2 separate regions of the Mus musculus genome follow, and region 2 is reported to be linked to region 1. The links are microRNA targets in miRTarBase. Many come from high-throughput screens and were not tested one by one. Region 1 holds a microRNA gene; the other region holds the end of a gene's coding sequence.

Region 1 (4,067 bases):
GAGAGAGAGAGAGAGAGCCTAAATAGTCCTTTGTTAGCAAGCCAGAGTGTTGTTGGATGGAGCCTAGAAGAAATGCTAACACTTACGAAGATGTGGATAATGGTGGAATTACATTCTCATCAGCTGAGATCTCTAATGAACACTAGCCCACATTTGAGCACATGGCAGGGAGGAACAACAAATGGCCACAGCTCGATGAACAGGAATTGCTGAAAACTGAATTTGCATAAAGTTCTTTTAGAAGCAGCTTTGGCTGCTCAGACCCACTTTGCCACATTGCTGAACGCCTACAGGGACAGCAGAGATGTTTTAGGTGGGAATCACTATCATACACCGATCTCGGGGCTATGGAGATAGCTCACTCAGTAAAGTGCTTTCCATGAAGGCCTGAGGACCTGGGTTTGGATCACCAGCAAGGTATGATGGTACAGTCTGTAACCTCAGTACTGCATGGACATGAGTACATGCATCAGACGGCTTGCTGAGAGACCCTGTCTCAAAACAGGAAACCAAGAATAACAGATAGAGACCTTCTGTTGACCCTGGGCATGCACACACTTGCAAATATACATGCACACACATGCAAATGCCGTGCACATACATGATGCATATGACATAAACAGAAGAAAGCTTATAGATATTAACAATTAACTTGAATTTTGGAAAAAGTGATGGTGGCAAAGGCTTATGTACTGGGAAAATGGAAAGCTCTCTTGGTGATAAACAGGTAATGGACAGAAAGACTGACAGCATAGGACCTTGAGACCCAGTCAGTGGGACTTCCTAGGTGACTGGGCATGCTTCAATCTCCAGCAGCTCCAAGGAGGTGGTTGATCCCTTTCTTGCCAATACACGCCTGAGCTCTCAGAGCTCTGTTTCTTGCTCTGAGGAGGACTTGAGGAACCCTTCACACACATAATGCTGAATAGAAGCTGACCGGCCTACAGGTACCTGCACGCTGGTGTAACCAATGTCTGGAAGGCCTCAGCCATTCCAAGCCTTTGACTTTCTGCCACTGGAACTGGCTTCTTGATTCCATTTCCATTTGCTCTCAGGTAATGCGCTTTATCTACCCATAAGCCAGTCTGCACTCAGCTCAGGTCAGTCCCTGTTACCTGCAGCTGAAAGCCTTGGGCAGGCTGAAGACACCTGTGCCCAGGGAATGCTCCTTACCTACCAGCCCCGTGATTAGGATGTTACAAGTTCCTTCCTCTGGGTGCTGTGATGTCTACAGACCAGAAATGGAGGCAGCATGGATGTTAACAGATTTTAAGAGCACCCATGTTAAAGTCTCCATCTTCAGCCTCTAGCACTATCAGGGAGATGAGGAGACACTGGTCTCCGATCTCTGCCTCTTTTTCTTTTCCTCCCTCATTCCCTCCTCCCTTCCTTTCTCTTTGCTTCCTGACTGCTGTGAGCAAGCAGTTCCTTCTGCCCCATTCTTCCCTGGGAGGTGCTGATCCTCCACTGTTCCAAAGCGGCCATGAGATGAAATGGAATTGGCCCGTTGGTCATAAGCCAAACCAGCCTCTCTTCCGTGTAAGTTATTTGTCTCTGGTATTGTGTCACAGTGACAGAAAGCTGATATTAGCACATGTGCTCTCCTGTCTGAGTACAGTGGACCCAGCCAGCCTACAGGAGGGTGTGGCATCTCAACTAAGGTTAGACACTCCCAGAGGGATGACCAGAGCCACTCAGAACACAAAAGGACCCCAGGCAGCCACATGAGCAAAGGTAACTCTCTGCATACCTCTAATGTCTGAGTGGCTGCCGTTACCCAAGGCAGCTCCACAGTGAGTTGACCTGCAACTCAAAAGCTGCAGTTTCTTATTTTCACTAAACAAGAGAACCATGATACTCCTGTGAGGTCCTCAGTGTTGAAAGGTGACCACCAGCAAGCTGTCTTCTGTCCTGTGTGGTACCGTCTCTTCTGGGACCCCGTGCTCCTAGGCCCCTGAGAAAGAGTGTTGGAGGTGACAGATTTCATGAGGCAGATGGCACAGCCTCAGGTACAATTTCCTTTGATAAAGGTATTAAGAAAAATTATGTGCAGGGCTGAAATTATGAGTTATTATGAGTTTTTAATAATGATTTGGATTTAATTAATAAATTAGATTAAATTAGTGAAAGCTGGCAAAAGCCCAGGCTAGAGCTGGCAGAATTGCAACAGCACACAGTCCTGGCTTTGAAGCCTAATATCAAGCACAATTATTTTTAATGATTAAAACAAATGTTTAAGCTGTGGCAGCGGTGATGCTTGTCTTTTGTTGTTGTTGTTTTTTATTAATCATTTTATTCGTTTACACTTCAAATGATATCCCCTTCCCAGTTACCCCTTCACAAACCCCACATCTCATCCCCCTTCTCCCCCTCCCCTTTGCCTCTATGAGGGTGCTCTTCCACCCACTCACCCACTCCTGCCTCACCACTCTAGCATCCCCTACACTGGGGCATCAAGCCTCCACAGGACCAAGGCCCTCCCCTCCCACCAATGCCAATCAATCATCTGCTACACATGTACTGACATTGGGTGGCTCAGCAGGAGCCACGCACCCAATCGTGTGTACTATTTAGTGGATGATTTAGTCTCTGAGAGCTCTGGGTGGTCCGGTTGGTTGATATTGTTGTTTTCCTGTGGGGTTGCAAAGCCCTTCAGTCCTTCCCCTAACTCTTCCATTAGGGTCCCCAGGCTCAGTCGGATGGTTAGCTATGAGTATCCCCATCTGCATTGGTCAGGTGCTGGCAGAACCTCTCAGGGGACAGCCATACCAGGCTCCTATCAGCACTTGTCTTTAACACACACATACTGCACTTGGGAGGCAGAGGCAGGTGGATCTCTGTGAGTTAGAGGCCAGCCTGGTCTGCAGAGTGAGTTCCAGGGCAGCCTGCGATACACAGAGAAACCTGTCTCGAAAAACAAATGAATACTGCATGTGCATGTGAGTGTGCATGCAGGTAACTCTGGAGGGCAGAAAGGGCATTGGAAGCCCTGCAGCTCAGGTTGGAGGTAGTGGCATGTGAGCCACGCAATGTCAGTGCTAGGAACTGAACTCCAATTCTCTGCAGGAGCAGCGGGTGCTCTAACATCTCTTCATCCTTTGCATTTTAAAGAAGAGAAATGGGATTGTGACAGGTTATTCTAATGGTTTACAGCAGTAAGCTAGCTGATGTGACTGTGACACTGCTCCATGAATCCTACAGGGGACATGTATGACCAGGCCCATTCTGGTGTCTGCTGAATTCACAAGGTGATGGGAAGGGTGTTCCCAGCCTTGCCCACATTCTGTCTCTGTTCAGTGTCTACCATCTTCAGTCAGGATAGTGCACCTCATAGGTGACCAACCCATACAATCCCAGAATGCAGTGAAGGATTAAGACAAAAGAAGACAACTTGCTTGTGTTTTTATTTATAAGTAATACTACTTTACATATGATGGCCCAGAGGGCTAGGGCACATCAGAGAATATATATATAAGTCACCTCAACAGAGCCTCAGCCCCAGATTGGCTACTTTCAATGGCAAATGTAGTAAGAGGGCTTATGTGTTTTCCAGGGTGTGTACTGTGTTCTTGTATGTGGCTAAGAGCATATGGAGGCAAGGTGGGACCCTGAATATGAGTCCAGTCTTAACTCCAATGCACCAATTTGGTCTCATCAAACCCCACTGGGTTGAGGATAAGAGGAGGTACAAAAAGGCTGCTTCTTCCTCCTCTCCCTCCTCCCTCTTGCCCTCCCCCTCCTCCCCCATCTCTTTTGCAGCCATAGACTTGGCTCAGGAGTTAAGAGCACTTGGTGCTCTTTCAGAGTACTGGAGTTCCGTTCCCAGCACCATGTCAAGGAAACTGTAACTCTAGCTGTCTGGGATCCAATGCCCTTTCTGGCCTCTCTGGGTACCTACCCACAAATAAGATAAATATCTTTTTAAATTTCTTTAGACAGAGTCTTACTATGTAGGTCTGGCTGGTCTGGAACTCAGTATGTAGACCAGATAGCCTTGGTAATGGTCAATTCAGAGAATTTTCTGTCTCCTGCCTCCTGCCTCCTGCCTCCTGCCTCCTGCCTCCTGC
Region 2 (4,067 bases), not on the chromosome of region 1:
CATGATTGTCTGATGACAAGCTAGAAGCCAGGCGTCAGATCTCATTAGGAATGCTCTTTTTGGTTTTTCGAGACAGGGTTTCTCTGTGTAGCCCTGGCTGTCCTGGAACTCACTTTGTAGACCAGGCTGGCCTCGAACTCAGAAATCAGCCTGCCTCTGCCTCTCGAGTGCTGGGATTAAAGGCGTGCGCCACCACGCCCGGCTTTAGGAATGCTCTTTAATCTGAGGTAGATGACATTGCCATTTGGATGGTGACTGTGTCAGCTGACTACTGCCTTGGAAGTAGCCTTGTCACTTTGCTGTCTTTCTTTTTGCCAGGAACTTTGAACTACCCTGGTTGGATGAGCGAAGCCGTTGCAGGTTGGAGATCCAGAAGAAGCACACACCTCACCGGACCTGTAGGAAGTAGCTGTGCTGGCGGTAGCCTGTCTTCAGATAGTTGTAGCATGCTGTTCCGAGAGAATAGCAGAGACCTGTATGTGTGACCTGTGCCCTCATGTCTGTTATCATTCACTGGTAATGCCTTTCCATCCTCCCTTTATATTAGTTTTGTTTTCTTTACTCTGATTTCACAAAACAAACAGAAGAAAGCTCTTGCGTTGGCTGATTGTGAATTAGGGGTTACTGGAGCGGCTTTTCCCATTTTGGGGAGATGAGCTTGAGCTCGTCCTATAGGGGGAGACTTGGGGGTCCCAGGGGCCACTTGTAACTCACCTGCCTGCCTAACGGGGTAAAGGGCTCTTCATTAGCGTGTCTAAGATGGAGCAACCCTTCCTGTAGGAGCTGTGCCTGCCCTGACCCCGTGCCTCCCTGGTGCGCCTTCTGAATAGTGTGGGTGTAGTAGGTTTCACCGTGAACTTTAGGGCCCGAGGAATAGCATGAAGTAATGAAGCAAGACATTCCTCAGAGGGGGAAACTGCAGAGTTTTACCTGAAAGTTTGTTCTCTTTAAACTGCTCTGTGACAGTGGCATGTGGGAGGAGACGTGCAGCTGGTTCACTTTCTTAGTTGATGGGTAACTGAAGTTCCTTCCCACCCCCAACAAAGAAGATGTTTAGAAAAGAGATTGGGAGTGTAAGTTTCCAACTAGTTAACAGTGCTAAACCGATAGAGCTCTCATTTGGGGATGGCATGCCAGAGTCTGTAGAGATGTCTCTGTCATGTCACTTTTCAAGGATTCCTTAGTGGGGCTTGATCCTATTAGCCAAACTTTTGGTGGTGAGGTAGAGATTTGGGGTGGGGCCGGGGGTAGGGTATGGAAGGATATGCTTCCTCTGCCTGGCAGATGTCTACAGCTTGAAACAAACAGTTGTACCTAATGAACTTTATTCGTTTAGTGAAAATAGATTTATACACGAACCATCTTGTTTCCCATCTCCTGCCCTTGTTTTGTTACTGAAAAGATAAAAAAGAAAAAAAAAAAAAAAAAAGAAAAAAGAAAAAAAAATCAGGACAGCACTCCCAGGCCACTTTGGTCTCAGTGTAAGATCCCTGTTAACTATCTGGAAGAGAAATGGAGCCGAGGCCTGTGGGCTTCTGGATAGGAGTTGCCTTTCACTAGCCTTCAGGACTATTGTATAAAAACAAGTTGGGGTCTAATCTCTAGAAGGGTAGGGCTCTTATCCTTGAAGAGAACATGGCCCCAAATTATTAGCACTTTTAGAGGAGAAGCCAAGGTATGTAGGGTGTGTGGTTGGCCCATCTGCTGAGCATGCGAGAATGGCATTGCCACTGTGGGAAGAGACGTTCTCAGGGGCCTCCCACTGCTAAAGCTTTTTTGAGACGTTATCTTGCTCCCTGGGTTTGACTTTGAAAGGAATTATTCCAGCAGTCCATGTAGTGTTCTTGGATGATCTTGCTGCTCTTAATTCTCCTTTGTATGTGTGTGTGTGTGTGTGTGTGTGTGTGTGTGTGTGTGTGTGTGTGTGTGTGTGGCTCTGGGTTTTCACTTGTAACTCCATCTGCTTAGGAGCGTGGTCTCTCTGTGACAGAAGCTGCCATAAACCACCTCAGCGAGGATGTAGAGAGAAAGGGGACTTCTCCGCTAGGGGCTCTCATCTCACACCTTAGGGATGGGGATATAGCTAGAAAGATTGGGCCAGATTGTTGTTGTTGTTGTTGTTGTTGTTGTTTTAATGAGGCCAACTGTTTAGTGCTCCTACTCTGACCTGTGTTGTTTCTTTATAACATGCTCCTCAAAAATAATAACCTCAATCAGTTGTCTCTTTACTTCGTTTCTTGATCCCTCTCAGTTTCTTCTTGACAACGAGATTTGTCAGATTCCTAATTTGGGTATGGGTTAACAGATTTAACCACCAGGTTTCTGCCCTACACAGAGGAGTCCTCAGATCCTGTTTTTGCTAGACTGAGAGGAATCCATGAGGTGCTATCTGGCAGGACTGAAGTGGATTCTATTGCTTTGGTTCTCCTTTCCCTGAGGACCTACTATTTGGTTATGTCCTCTCCTAGATGTCCTTTGGTTTGGGGATGCTGAGGAGGCTGGGGTGAGAGCACAGTGAGGAGCGTGGGGAGTCACCTGCTTCCCCTCCGTGGGGTACAACACTGTGAGATTCAGTCTTCAGCAGAAAGAGAGGCCCTGCACTTCTCTGAAAACATAGTTCCTTATTCTTTCTTTAACAAAGTTTAAGCTAGTGTTAATAAATTAAAAGAGAAATTGCTTGTCTCTCCACCTCAGCTTTATTTTATGCCCGTTTCATATCGTTGTCTGTGCTGTAATTCATACTTTTGATACCATTTCTGATGTGTAAAGTCGGCTGTCTTGTAAATATCTTATAAAGAGTTCAATTGTAAATAAACTATTGTGGCCGTTAACTTTTGAACTTTTGCCTCATTTTATTAGATTTGTTGGGAAACATTATATCTGCTTGTATATATGAAAGAATGGGAAAGAATCTTCATATTAACCCAAGTGAAATAGAGAAATACATCACCGCCCTTCTAATCAGGGGCTCATCCATTGTGTCAGACTCTAGCGTGTGTCTGTATGTTCCTTTGTCCTGAGCCCTTCCTTACACATAAATGGCAAATTACAAAGCTTGTAGGCAAGACTTTATAGGTCACCTACTCAGTGTTTGATACATGATTTTCCCTGGATATCAGTCCAGATAAATGAAGTCCAGATCCGCTTGACCACAGTGTCTTCCTACACACATCTTCTGTATGCTTGAAAACCCTCATTGTAACTTGAAAGCACTGGCTCTTGTTTTGTGACTACAATGATATAGAAAGATCAATCTCTTAGCTCCTTACTTCTCTAATAAGACTCATGTGGGACCCCAGACCATCTGTCTATTCATGCTAAACATTGACCGTTTCTCACAACTGTTTCTCAGGAGGACTGCTATCCCAAGCACCCACACAGCCAGGAGAGCCCCAGGTTCAAGATCAGCCTAGCTTCCATGAGACCCTGTCTCAAAAAACAAAAGAAAGTAGGATCCAGAGCAGGATTACAGGTATTGTCCCCTCATAGCCTGCATCTGGGGAGGCTGAAGCTGGTGGGTCCCGAGTGATGAAAAGGCTAGCTTGAGGTCATAGATTTTCTTAAAAAAAAAAAAAAAAAAGAAAAAAGAAAAAAAACATCCCAAGCTGGATTCCGACCAAACAACTAAAGGACAAAGTGGCATGCTATCCTTGTCCTTATTTAGACACTCAACTTGGCAGTCTTGCTGCACCATTTTAGATTGTGATGGATAAGATTCTTATGCCTTTCACACTTATTAAATCATGCATCCTCCATTTTGAGTTCAGGCAGTTGTTTCTGGAGCTGAACTCCATGATACATTTGGCCACCTGTCACCAGTTGAATCAGTCCCTGCAGACAGTCATGATTCCTTGGAGTCTCATACTGTTTATAGATCTGGTAAGCAGTGGGGACCTTTAGCTATTTATGAAAACAGCTCAGAGTCCTCTTAACTCATCTATTTGATGTATATTAACAATATGCAGTAATAAATTAGCTTACAAACTATATGTTGCTGCAAGGTAGTTGTGCTGAGTTTTCTTTCACTGCTGATAAATGCATACCCAAAGCATTCTCTGTAGAGTAAC

What was found. Region 1 holds the annotated microRNA mmu-miR-1969 (AAGAUGGAGACUUUAACAUGGGU, at 1,278-1,300, opposite strand). A microRNA usually pairs through its seed, bases 2 to 8, with sites in the 3' UTR of a target mRNA and lowers its output. Matches are read on the target gene's strand: a 7mer-m8 pairs with bases 2 to 8, a 7mer-A1 pairs with bases 2 to 7 and ends in A, and an 8mer does both.
Region 2: the mRNA of Msl1 is a reported target of mmu-miR-1969. Seed matches in the 3' UTR shown: 7mer-m8 at 1,956-1,962.

Annotation. Positions count from the first base shown.
Region 1 is chr8:70,922,774-70,926,840 of GRCm38, reverse strand. Mir1969 (microRNA 1969) reads right to left here and starts at 1,316; the gene lies at 1,223-1,316.
Region 2 is chr11:98,805,024-98,809,090 of GRCm38, forward strand. It overlaps Msl1 (male specific lethal 1), which reads left to right. Exons shown (of 9, transcript NM_028722.3): 9 at 319-2,836. The coding sequence ends at 409. The region is part of intron 1 of Gm12359 (predicted gene 12359); the gene reads right to left. Among named protein-coding and RNA genes, the nearest start is that of Casc3, 2.8 kb to the right of the region's middle.